Linked DNA regions of Schizosaccharomyces pombe. The main gene of each other region encodes a partner of the protein of the gene in region 2 in a complex. Each region holds a gene or a part of one and is shown on either strand. Other genes may lie near its edges.

What was found. The genes of interacting proteins can lie anywhere in the genome.
Region 1: tim44 (region 2) and tim16 share a complex: the UniProt entries of both Schizosaccharomyces pombe proteins name them as parts of the PAM complex.
Region 3: tim44 (region 2) and mge1 share a complex: the UniProt entries of both Schizosaccharomyces pombe proteins name them as parts of the PAM complex.

The regions. Positions count from the first base shown.
Region 1 is NC_003423.3:884,679-888,162, reverse strand, and holds tim16 (TIM23 translocase complex subunit Tim16), read right to left. Parts: upstream 1,671-3,484; 5' UTR 1,548-1,670; coding exon 1,499-1,547; exon of another isoform or gene 1,434-1,498; coding exon 1,096-1,433; 3' UTR 516-1,095; downstream 1-515. Other genes in the region: plasma membrane proteolipid Pmp3, read left to right, coding at 21-164; SPOM_SPBC713.09 (uncharacterized protein), read right to left, coding at 1,976-3,121, 3,163-3,204. UniProt on the Schizosaccharomyces pombe protein: Essential component of the PAM complex, a complex required for the translocation of transit peptide-containing proteins from the inner membrane into the mitochondrial matrix in an ATP-dependent manner.
Region 2 is NC_003423.3:2,203,505-2,207,900, forward strand, and holds tim44 (TIM23 translocase complex subunit Tim44), read left to right. Parts: upstream 1-1,958; 5' UTR 1,959-2,049; coding exon 2,050-3,333; 3' UTR 3,334-3,869; downstream 3,870-4,396. Other genes in the region: securin cut2, read right to left, coding at 1-702; methionine aminopeptidase Fma2, read left to right, coding at 4,228-4,396. UniProt on the Schizosaccharomyces pombe protein: Essential component of the PAM complex, a complex required for the translocation of transit peptide-containing proteins from the inner membrane into the mitochondrial matrix in an ATP-dependent manner.
Region 3 is NC_003423.3:4,020,621-4,024,287, forward strand, and holds mge1 (GrpE domain-containing chaperone mge1), read left to right. Parts: upstream 1-1,896; 5' UTR 1,897-1,926; coding exon 1,927-2,598; 3' UTR 2,599-3,152; downstream 3,153-3,667. Other genes in the region: Fe-sulfur protein Isa2, read left to right, coding at 1-134, 204-375; vma7 (V-type ATPase V1 subunit F), read right to left, coding at 582-808, 867-1,002. UniProt on the Schizosaccharomyces pombe protein: Essential component of the PAM complex, a complex required for the translocation of transit peptide-containing proteins from the inner membrane into the mitochondrial matrix in an ATP-dependent manner.

The DNA of each region.
Region 1 (3,484 bases), 1.3 Mb from region 2:
AATGCTAATATATGACACAGGTAATTTTCGCCATTATTCTCCCTCCCTTGGGCGTTTTCTTGGAACGTGGCTGTGGTGCTGACGTTATTATCAACATTCTTCTTTGTTGTCTTGGTTACGTTCCCGGTATTATTCACGCTCTCTATATCATCTTAAAATACTAAGCATCCCTCTATTTCAATCCTCTAATATTTGTTCTTTTCGCTACTTATCATGTTTATAAAGGAAAGTGAAATAGACATGTGTATTCTTTGCTTCTTCTCTTGTCTGTTCTAGGAATTTATTATTCGCTTCATTTAATACCAAATGTTGTGAGGATATCATGGCTTTTGTATTAGTAAACAAAAAAACGGATTTTCTTTACTAAGAAAAAAGTTCAAAATAGTATCACGGTTGTTTGCACTCATTTTTTTTTCCTTTCCCAAAATCGACTGTGCTTAACCATGATATCTTTTTTTATCCATAATTGGGCGAATGATTTTACCGTATACTTTTTGCTATAGCCCAATAGTCTTCTTGTTTTACATAAAAGAATGTTTTATCATTTGCTCAACTGGAACTTATATTCTTTAAATATATTAGTTTAACGGTTCTTTTTTTTGTGTCTTATTCATTATTTGTAACCAAAATGTATTTCAATAGTAGTGTGTAATGATTGATATCTGGGAATAGATTAGATTATTGATCTCTTCATGGTGCCCGCAGCCCAGTCTAACTTTAAGGATTGGCCAGCGACAGTTAAAAGTCGAAAAGTAAGTTTTGGCTTAACCTCAGGCTCTCGTTTGAAGTCAATCCATATCAATGTACATCTCTCATCACATTGACAATATATGGCTCTGGTTTAACGGCATTGAGGGTATGTGGATAGCTAGACTAGTGTTAATTTTCCTTTTATCATAGTACAGGGCATATTCAAAAAAATATGAGGATATCAACCTCCTCACATTTCTTCAACTATTCGTAAACAAAAATATATCCCATTGCTTCTTTTTTTCTTAAAAAAAAAAAAAAGATAGATTCCATTTTACATTAAATTAAGGTAGACGTGTCGGTAAATACGTAGCAATAGCTAGCAACCCAAAATCAAAGAAAGTTTTAAGGTGAACTGGTTGGTTTCGCTGGGGATTGTTCTTGTATTTTTTGATCCAGTTCACTTTTCAATTTTTCATGAGCTCGGAACACTTTGCTCTGGAGGTAAAAAGATCCTCCTTTTTTAGGATCATTAATCTCAAACATTTTTTGAAATCGTTTTTCTAACTCTCCTTCTTCTAATGATTCTGGCTTAATGTTTAAAATGCTACCAGCTTCTTGAATAGTCATTTCACCTCGACGAACAGCAGTTGATGATTTGGAAGCAGCAGCTTGACCAGTACTTTGTTGAGCTGCATTAGCAATCATTTGCTTATAAGCTTGTACAAAAGCTTTGCTCATTACTAATATTGTTAGGGTTTTTAATCTTTTGAATAAATCCTTGATAGGAGAATGGCCACAAACATACCTTGCGAACCAACAATTATAAATCGACCGACAGCCCTTGGAAGCGACATTTTTTAATGTAATATAGTAATTTTGAACAAATAATTATGATAAATGTCTTCCTTTATTTTATTTTCAGACATACACATGCCCTAAACAGGAATTTTCACAAATTTTCTTGTAAAAAGGGTGGTGGTAAAAATTCCTTATAAGGCAGATTTCATATCAAAGAATCTAATACTACTTCCAAATTACAACCTTGATTTAATAATAAGAAGCATAAAGTTCACTATTTTAGACAAAAAAATATTAATATATTATGAATTTGCTTTATATTCTTTACTTTGTTTTACTACTCGTCACAATTCAAAGATCATGTAAACTGATTGTAAATTCAAATCATCTTATTCATTAGGGCTTCTTATACTCGCTGAAACAGTATGGTAATGGAGCTTAAACATAGTGACTTAATAATAAATATCATATTAAAGCTTTAACTTCATACTGAAAAAGGAATGCCGTGAGCACCGGGAAATCCAGTCAATGTCAAGTCAATTGAAACGTTATCGATTACCTCAAAGTTAGTAGGATCTGGAAAAAGTTTCTCGGTCACGGAGCCAGGCTGTTCAAAATGCATCGCTTCAAGTTCCTTCAGCCTTCTTTGACATTCCGCAAACTCAACCATCGCTAGTTTATAACGTTCAACAGCTTCTTCCAAAAGTTGCTTTTCTAAAGCAATGTCCGAAACCTTTTTTTCCAATGAGTTGATCAACTCCTTTTGTTCATGAGTTTGGTTAGCAGTTTTAGAGCCTTCAGAGCTTTGTTCTTTATTTTGCTTTATCGCGGATTTTTCACGCTCCTCAAACTCCTTGAAACGATTATTGAAATTCTCGTTAGCTTCACTGAGTTTCGTGGCACGTTCATTTAAACTTTTCTCATGTTCTTCAACCTTTAATAGACGATTTTCAAGGTCCTTTTCACGTTTTTTAAGATCATCTTCTTTTCCATTCATCTTCAGTTCTCTTTTATTAATCTCATTCTCTCTGATTAACAGTTTTGACTGGAATTCCTCAAGAGCGGCTTCTCTTTTGGATACGAGTGTCTGCTTTCCTTCACTGTCATCCGCATTAGCTTTTAATGTTTCATAATCATAAGTTAAGTCGTTAATGCGTTCTTTTAATTCTTTGATTTTCTTATCCTTTTGTTCATTAAGATCATGCAGGGTTTTTACTTGTTTTTCTAGTTCATCTTTTTCTTGACTGCTTGTACTTCGAGAAGTGACCTCTGTTTCAACGTTCTTTTTTATTTCACCATCAGGCTTGGCTGCTTTATCCTCACTTTCTATTACCGCTAAATCCTCCTTCTCAGGCTTCTCCGCAACCGACTCATCTACAGAATTTTTAACGACATTTTCAGATGTTTCCGGAGACTGAGTAGAAGCATCGCCGGTGGATGCCTCAGCACCTTCAGCTGAAACTACATTCGAAGCAGAAATATCCTCAGTGTTTTCAACTACTTGAGTATTGTCATTGCCTGTAGGCTCATTTACTTGATTATTGCCATCATTAGATTCGCGGTCAACATTATCTTCGGCAACTGAATTTTTAGATTTAGCTTGGCGTTTTTTCTTCTTGACCTCCAGCAACTAGCACTCGTAAGTTAAATGTTACAAAATATTATGCATACCCTTTGTTTAGCTGCAGCTAGCTTTTCTTCACGATCTGACATCTTCAAATTTGATACAAGATGAAAATAAATCAACAGGGAGTTGTAGTGTGGGCAGAATCAGTAAAGTATAGGTAAGTAGGGAAAGTTTGCGTGAGGCTTAACAAGTCCACGGATAACCAAGCATACTAAATAAAGTAGAAACATAAATATAATATATATTTGATGAATGAAAAACTTAAAAAAATGGATTCATATTTTTTATACGCTAGAGAGTATAGGTATATTTTATTACGCTGATTCGGTTTGAAAATGAAGGAAGATACTCTCCAAAGTTAATGCA
Region 2 (4,396 bases):
TGTTCTGGAAGAGGATTGTTTGCTGACAGAAGGCTTTTCGAGAACCTTTCTTTGTTGATCAGAAGCTTTCAAGGTAGCGGGTGTTGTCAGGTTAGTATCCTTTTCTGTTAACGGGGAGTCACCGTCTACGCTGAGCAGAGGAAATTGTATAGGATCATCATCACTGAACTCCTTGTAAACATGGAAATCTGATGCAGGTGTATTACGAATAGTTACTGAGGTAGCCTTATTCTGCATGCTAGGCCAAGGATCGAGCGTTTCACAATCAATTGCAACGTCGTCAAACCCCAGGGATTGAATGGGGTCCAAATGAACAGGAGGAGGCATATATTCGATATCTTCTTCAAGTTCATTTGGTAAAGGAGTGTCTGTTAAAGAGGAACGACGAGGGCTAGCCGAAAGTCGCTTCGACCGCTCTTGTACGGCTGATCGGGAAATTCCTTGTGAGTTTGGCTCCAAAATAGTAGGGGAATCCATCGAAATATCCATAGGAGACATTTTCTTTGTACTGGGAGCAGAAATAAATTTGGAAATGTTAGTACTCTTACCTCCCAGTACCGTTCTAGGAACCGTTACAGAAGAAGGTGCATTCGACTGCTTTGTAGACCCCAATGGTGCTCTTTTGGAGCCCGCTCCTTTTGTACCATTTCTGTTTGATATGGGAGTTACAGGAAAAGCGTTTTCTTTTCCATATGAAAACATGGTTCTTGGCAACATCGTTGTCTATAGTCCAAGGCTGGTTTATTATTTCACAGGTGACATTCAATTGTGACCTGCACAATTTAAAATAGTAAACAAAGCGATAATTTGAAGAAATATGATCACCTTTTAAATTTTTACTTTTACAAATGCATAATAAATTGTTTTGTTTTGTTTTTGAATTGCTTAATTGGATTGAAGATGATTTATGATATTCAGGTTGCTTTTATCGTCTAGTGTTCAAGATGGAAAACCAGTTCTTCATGAAACAAATAATTTTACATTCCAACTATACTATGTTGTAATCATTCTGAATCATTATCAGAAAAGTTGGAAGTGTATTACAACTGATCATTTCGTATAAACTTGATGTTGAATGAATCTAAGCTTTTAAAGCTAGATCTGTCTGCCAAAATTGATCAGTTATGACTTTAAGTATCCCATTTCGTTATTGAAGCTGAAAATTTACAACCTGTGATAAATAATATAGGAGCTTCAACAACTGTTTTCATAAAAAATCATGAAACACATTAATCATCAGAAAAATTCGAGGTTTACTACAACTTAAATGCGCCTTTTGAATTCTGTATAAACCAGCTACTTCCTTATTTTCAAATAAATTTCATCAAAGAAACTTAGGGGCACAACAAACGTCGCATGTTATTAGAAAGAATTACATACAAACATTCTATCAAACTGATAAAAAAAAAAAAAAAGATACAAAATTAAGAGATCTTTAAATTTTTCTAGATTTGAAAAATCTCTACAAATGAATAAACGAAACTTCAAAATGCTAATTAATACTATTGCTTTTATCTCCAAAACCCGCTACATACTCAAATTATCCAGTTCTATATAACGCATTGTAATATATCTATGCTGCTTATTGAATACTTTTTTTCATAACTTCATACGATCTCTTACCACCCACATGGTATCGATTCCCAACAATATTGTAAGCAACAGCTACGACTGTTTCAACCAATACGAAAGGAAATTGATCGGTACTCTTATTCTTTAATATATTAGGATCATGCGTAATTTATGCTTCCCTCTATATCAATATTTTAATAGTTGCATTTCAGATAAAATGAGCGAATTCGTAAAAATTCTAATCGTAAACTCCTCTTAGTAAAGTAAAAAAGTCCAAATATAAGAGAATATGCTAACTTTTGTTAACAAAAGACTACTTCTCGATATTTAGGATTAAGGTATCTTTCCACCTTTGTGGCACTTGAACCTTCCATCCACCACTCACTAGGCTGCTATATCGGTTTGCAATAAAAGGCAGCAAAGTGGATTAATTTTCGCGTAATAGCGTTGAGATTTATTTATTCAATAGGAAAGAAAATGTTTCTATCAAGAAAAATCACAAAAAATGCCCGCACAATAGTTCAATGCCAGCGGTTTTTCCAAACGTCTATATTCTCTCAAAATGCAGCACCTCAATCGCCAATCAAGGTGTTCATGGATACATTTAGAGCAGAATTAAAGAAGAGCCAGGAATTACAGGACAGTGTCAAAGCATTGCAAGATAGTTCAGGATCATTAAGTGAAAGCGACACTTTCAAAAAAGCGAGAGATGCTTACGAAAAAGCGCGCTCGGGAACTACTGCAGCTTCATCTTTCACAGGAAAAACTGTTGGCAAAGCTGGTGCCAAGATTGGCTCATATGCCCAAAAAGCTTGGGAAAGTGCTCCTGTACAATTATCAAAAAAGGTCATTTCAAGCACCGCTAATACTGTAGCTACTGGTGTTGACACTGCCACAAAACCCGTACGTGAAACTGCATTTTATAAAACAATTAAGCAAACAATGTCTGATGGTAGCACCTCTTCACGTTATGGATTTTATGCTGACAAGGAACAACGTAAAAAATTGCGTGAAGAATTTGAACGTCGAAACAGAATGTTTGCTAGCTCGGCAAGGATTCAGCCTAACGAAGACGTCCAAAGCGTCGTCGTACATAGCAACCCGTCGTGGAAGAATAAGGTTGAGCAAATAAAAAACGAATCGCGTTTAGTTCGTAAAATTCAAGAGCTTAAAAAAAGTTATCAGGAGTCTGAACATCCTATTGTCTCCTCCATTCGTGACATGGCCGACAGTATTAGTGGCGTTTGGTCTCGAATGTTTTCAGAAACTGAAGCATCGCAGGTTATGCGACGCTTTAAAGAGATTGACCCATCCTTTAATACCGAGCATTTCCTTCAATATTTAAGAGAATATATTGTCCCGGAAGTTACCGAGGCATATGTTAAAGGAGACAAAGAAGTGTTGAAGACTTGGCTTTCGGAAGCCCCCTTTTCCGTATATGAAACTACTACCAAGGAATATGCGAAACATGGAGTTGTTAGTGTTGGTAAAATCCTTGACATTCGTGGCGTCGACATCATGTCTCAAAGACTTTTACAGCCAAATGATATTCCCGTTTTTATCGTCACTTTTCGTACTCAAGAGGTCCATATGTTTAAAGATGCTAGCAGTGGCGAATTAGTTGCAGGAAAGGATGATCGTATTCAACAATGTACTTATGCTTCTGTCTTTACACGTGTAGAAGACGAGCTTGATAATCCGGAGACAAGAGGTTGGCGTATCGTTGATTTCGCACGTGCACGAGCCGTTGATTATTTCTAAATGCGAAAATATTCCAAACATTTGTCTTTCTATCGGCTTCTAATTTTAACATGTAAACATTTTTTTTGGAATCAGATTTTTTCTTCCTGCATAGCATATTTCGTTTGGGTTATATTTCTCTGTCACTCATATGATTAATTACTATTTAATATTTCAAAAGTTTTGTCAAGTTTGGAAATAACTCTTGGATTTCCTGGACTATGTCCACCATCATCTACTTAAGAAGACCGCTGATATTCCCTAATGATCGATCTTCTTTTTTTTTTTGTTTCTTTTTGATGACAAGTCTAAGCTTGTCATTCTTTTTTTTATCACATTTTTCGTTTGTCTACTTTGAAAAGTCTTTAATGTAGTAGAAGATTTTATTAATTTAAAATCTTTTATTTAACTCGGGTTTTGCGGGATGGGTTTAAGAATTGAGGTTTTGCTATCTTTTTCTTAAAGGATACGCGTGTTTAATACTTTTTCAACAATCGTATTTTAGGACGCGTGCATTTTTTAGCTCAATATCATAATCACTTTAACATGTTTTATAATATTTCCAATAGTTTTGGATTAAATAGTGCAAGAAATATTTTAAATTGGGAAAAATTTGGAACATTTATATTAACAAATAGATGTAGAGAATTTGACCTTTCATAAATTAATAAACGGTTGGTTTTAAAATTAAAATGGATACTTGTTGCTTGATATCCGACTCATTATCCCTTTTTAAACCTTTAATTAAGTAAATCTCAATCCTTTTGTTTGTATATTATAATCTCCTAAAATTGAGGCATAGGTTGCCATGACTACTGGTTTTTGGTGGTAGCACTGTTGTAACCTGTGGAGGTACATATACTCAACTTCCTCCTATATCAGATTTGTTTAGACAGGATTTAACAATCTTAAACAATGACTTCTGCGACAACTACTGAAGCTACCGCTAAAGATTTACAGGAGAAGCTTTCGCTGAAAGAGAACGACGTGGTTGAAGATGATGGAAAAGTAGAGGAAAATGATGCCGCTGAAGAAGGAGCCAGCAATGGAGAAAAGAAGAAAAAAAAGAAAAAAAAGTCTTCTA
Region 3 (3,667 bases), 1.8 Mb from region 2:
AAAAAACAGTTAGAAAAAATTGCAGAAAGGAAACCAGAAGAAAACTCTGTTTTGCGCGTCACTGTCGATGGTGGTGGATGCCATGGATATCAAGTATCTTTTCGCATGGACAACAAAATTGGAAATGCTGACACGTAAGTGATGTGGTTAAGAAGACTATAAGTTTTAATTAAGTATTTCCTGGTTATTGACTAAATATCTAGGGTATTTGTGCGTGGAAAAGCCAGGGTTGTTGCTGACAACATTTCATTACCTTTGATAAGTGGCTCTGAAATTGAGTATACAAATGAACTTATTGGTTCCTCTTTTCAACTTTTAAACAATCCACGTGCCAAGACTTCTTGTGGTTGTAATGTCAGTTTTGATGTTGAATGAGATTTATACTTAAAATAATACATTTCTCTTATAATCACTTTTCTATTTATCAAATATAGTTTAACAAAAACTCTGCTTACAATTTTTTGCTAGTATGCCAGTAAGTAAACCAAAAGATACAAATATAAAAGTGTCATCAGTCAAATCGATCGAGTTGTTGACTAATTGAAATTATTGCTCAAAAAATATAATTAAATATTAATAGTCTATTCTCCAATGATCTTTCTAACACGACGGAGGATACTGTCCTTTTCAGGATCATAAGGATCGTCTTTGCTAGGAATTTCCAATACAGCAGGGAATGCCTGCACATGGTTTTCAATACGATCACGTATTCTTTCAGCGGCAAACTGGTTAATCAATACAATCGCAATATCCTTCCTTTTCGTAGTATAATCATCAAAAGCTTCAGCAATCTGCTCATCTGTAGTCTCTACATAAAACAGCAAGTTAGCGAAAACACGATTCCATTTTTTAACAGATAATCTTACTCTGAGTAATTATAAAAAAGTTTTTGTCACCGTTTTCATTTACCTGACCAGTTCCAGCTAAAAGCATCCCAGTAACGGTATCATCGTCTCCAATTACAGAAACAAGTGTCCGTTCTCGATATGATTGTGAAGACATGATTTAGAGAGATAAGTATTTAGAAAATCTAGGTAAACGTCCAAGCAGGAAAATAGGAGAGTATGGTGCTACTTGAAAGCGCAACTTCTGGACTAGTAGGCGATTAAAAGTGTTCAGTGGTTGAATCGTAAATTTTCACAAAGCTTAGATAAATATTTAACAGAAAGCTATGGCTCTGCCTCTACAATCCTCAAATGTATTCCTGAGTTTAAGTAGTGATGGTGGATGAAAGTGTAAGGTCCAATACCGATAAGACATATCTGACACTTAACTAAGGTACCTTTTATTATGAAGACTTCTGTAATTAAGAATATGATATTATTATAATAGGAATTTGTGAAAATTCGACTCCCATAAATTGTTCAACAAATATCATTATGCAAATAAACTGATGAATGTAAAAATAATAAGATGGCCCAGATGACACAAATAGGATTATTTTAAAACTTAAATTATAATATTCAATTATTTTACTTTCAAAGGCTGCGAAGTAAGTACTTCGATATAATCCAATGCCGTAAAGCATACCAAGAAGGATATAAATATAGATGAGAAATCAGTTAATTATTATCTGTTGAGAATGAAGCTGAAAAGAATAAATTAATAATTGATAAGCATATGAGCCGTTGTTGGCTTCCAGTGTTGAGCAAATTCGAAATTTGGGTTGCTTTCCTACATGCATGTTCAAACCTACAATCAATTTGTTACATATCGAAATAGAAGCTTTAATTTGAGAAAAAAGTGTCATTTATATATTTTTTGAATCAGCTTCCATCTCAAAGTCCATACCTCATTTAACGAAACATAACGAATTTTTAAGTTGATGAAATTGATATTTGTAAAATTTAACAGTGCTAAGTTCACAACACCATTTGTCTATAGTGTGACACAGTTGTCTTTTACCACAAAGCTCTCACTGAAACAATGCTTGGGCTTGGAAGAGTATTTTCATCCGCTGTACGTCCTCGGACGCTTATTCGAGCACCCATTAATAAACGCAGTTTCCTTTGGTACTCAACTGAGGCTGCTAAGGAAGAAAAGCCTGCTGAAGAAAAAGTTGCCGAAACAGAGAATGTTGATGTTAAGGAACTTCAATCTAAGCTTTCTGAGCTTAAAAGTAAATATGAAGCAAAGGACAAAGAGGTTGCGGAGTTAAAGGGTAGCATTCGCCAAAGCTTAGCTGACTATCGTAATTTGGAAAACCGCATGAAGAGAGACATGGAGCAAACACGTGCATTTGCTGTTCAAAAGCTTACTAAGGATCTTTTGGATTCTGTCGATAATTTGGAGCGTGCTCTTTCAATTGTTCCAGAGGAGAAGCGTAACAATCGTGAGTCCAACAAGGATTTAGTTGATCTTTATGAAGGTTTAGCAATGACTGAATCGAACTTAATGAAAACCTTAGGAAAATATGGTTTAGTTCGCTATGACGGTATCGGAGAAGATTTTGATCCTAACATCCATGAAGCTGTTTTCCAAATCCCTGTTGAAGGTAAAAAGCCCAACACTGTCTTCCATTGCGAAAGCAAGGGTTTTCAATTGAATGGAAGAGTTATTCGTCCTGCCAAGGTTGGTGTTGTTAAGGGAGACGACTAGAGGAGCTAGTCAAAGATGATAGCAAGGAGCATACGAATACGTCGTTTCACCTATATTATTTTAATGACCAATTCGGGGTTTTTTTTTATTTTTAAACTCTCAATGTTTGTCTGGAAAGTCCTTTGTGGTATTATTGGATTTTTTCAGTCTTTTCAGGGGAACCAGAAGTCTTTCTGTGCAGATGCTTTTTTCTGCAAACTAATAGTCAAAGACAGATCGTAAAAAGTTTCATTGCATTTTTTGGGCTATGGGTACATTATTATATTTTTACCGAGGGGACTTGAATCCAATGTTTTTGTGTGGTTTGGGTTTATTGTTTAGTGATTTGCTATCACAACATAGTACCTATTTTTACTTACATTTATAAATAAAATTTTTACTCTTTAATACTATAGCTTTCACCCAAACTGGTTAAAGAATTTTGATATTTCCTTCTAAAGATTACTCAAAAGCATTTCTTTAAGAGTTAAAAGTGGAACCAAGTGGAAGGTATGTATTCTATCATTTAGTTTTATAGAATATTAAAGTTCCGAAAGTTGATATGTGCTTTAACGGTTAAGCCTCCTTTTCAAGTATTCGTAGAAGTTAAGCTAGTGTTCTGTATTACAAATTAGTAAGGAATTTTGACTAGTTTAGATGATTTTTTTGTTTTTTATAAAATAGATATGTAATAACAAACTTGCTAATAAAGTATTGATTGGAAGCAGCTAGCCTGTTCGAACTAAGCCATAGTATAAGACATTACTCAATCAGCCTAATCTAATAGATAGATATTCAAAGTTACAAATGATAAGCATGAGATCGTTTGTGGGTGATCCCGTTGCTTTTAACTTTATTAAGAATCTAGTCAATGAATAGTTTTTAATCCAGCACTGATATCGTCAGAATTGCATATTCGAGAGATATATTCATTTTTTCCAGCTCAGTAATTACACTATTACTAAATAAACTCACTTCTTAGCGATACACTACCGCAAGGGTTTACGTCTTTATTTAGATCAAGAAATGGTGCCTTGCATACTACTCGAACGTGGTGTAAAATTTACCCTTACACAATAAGTGTTGCTTG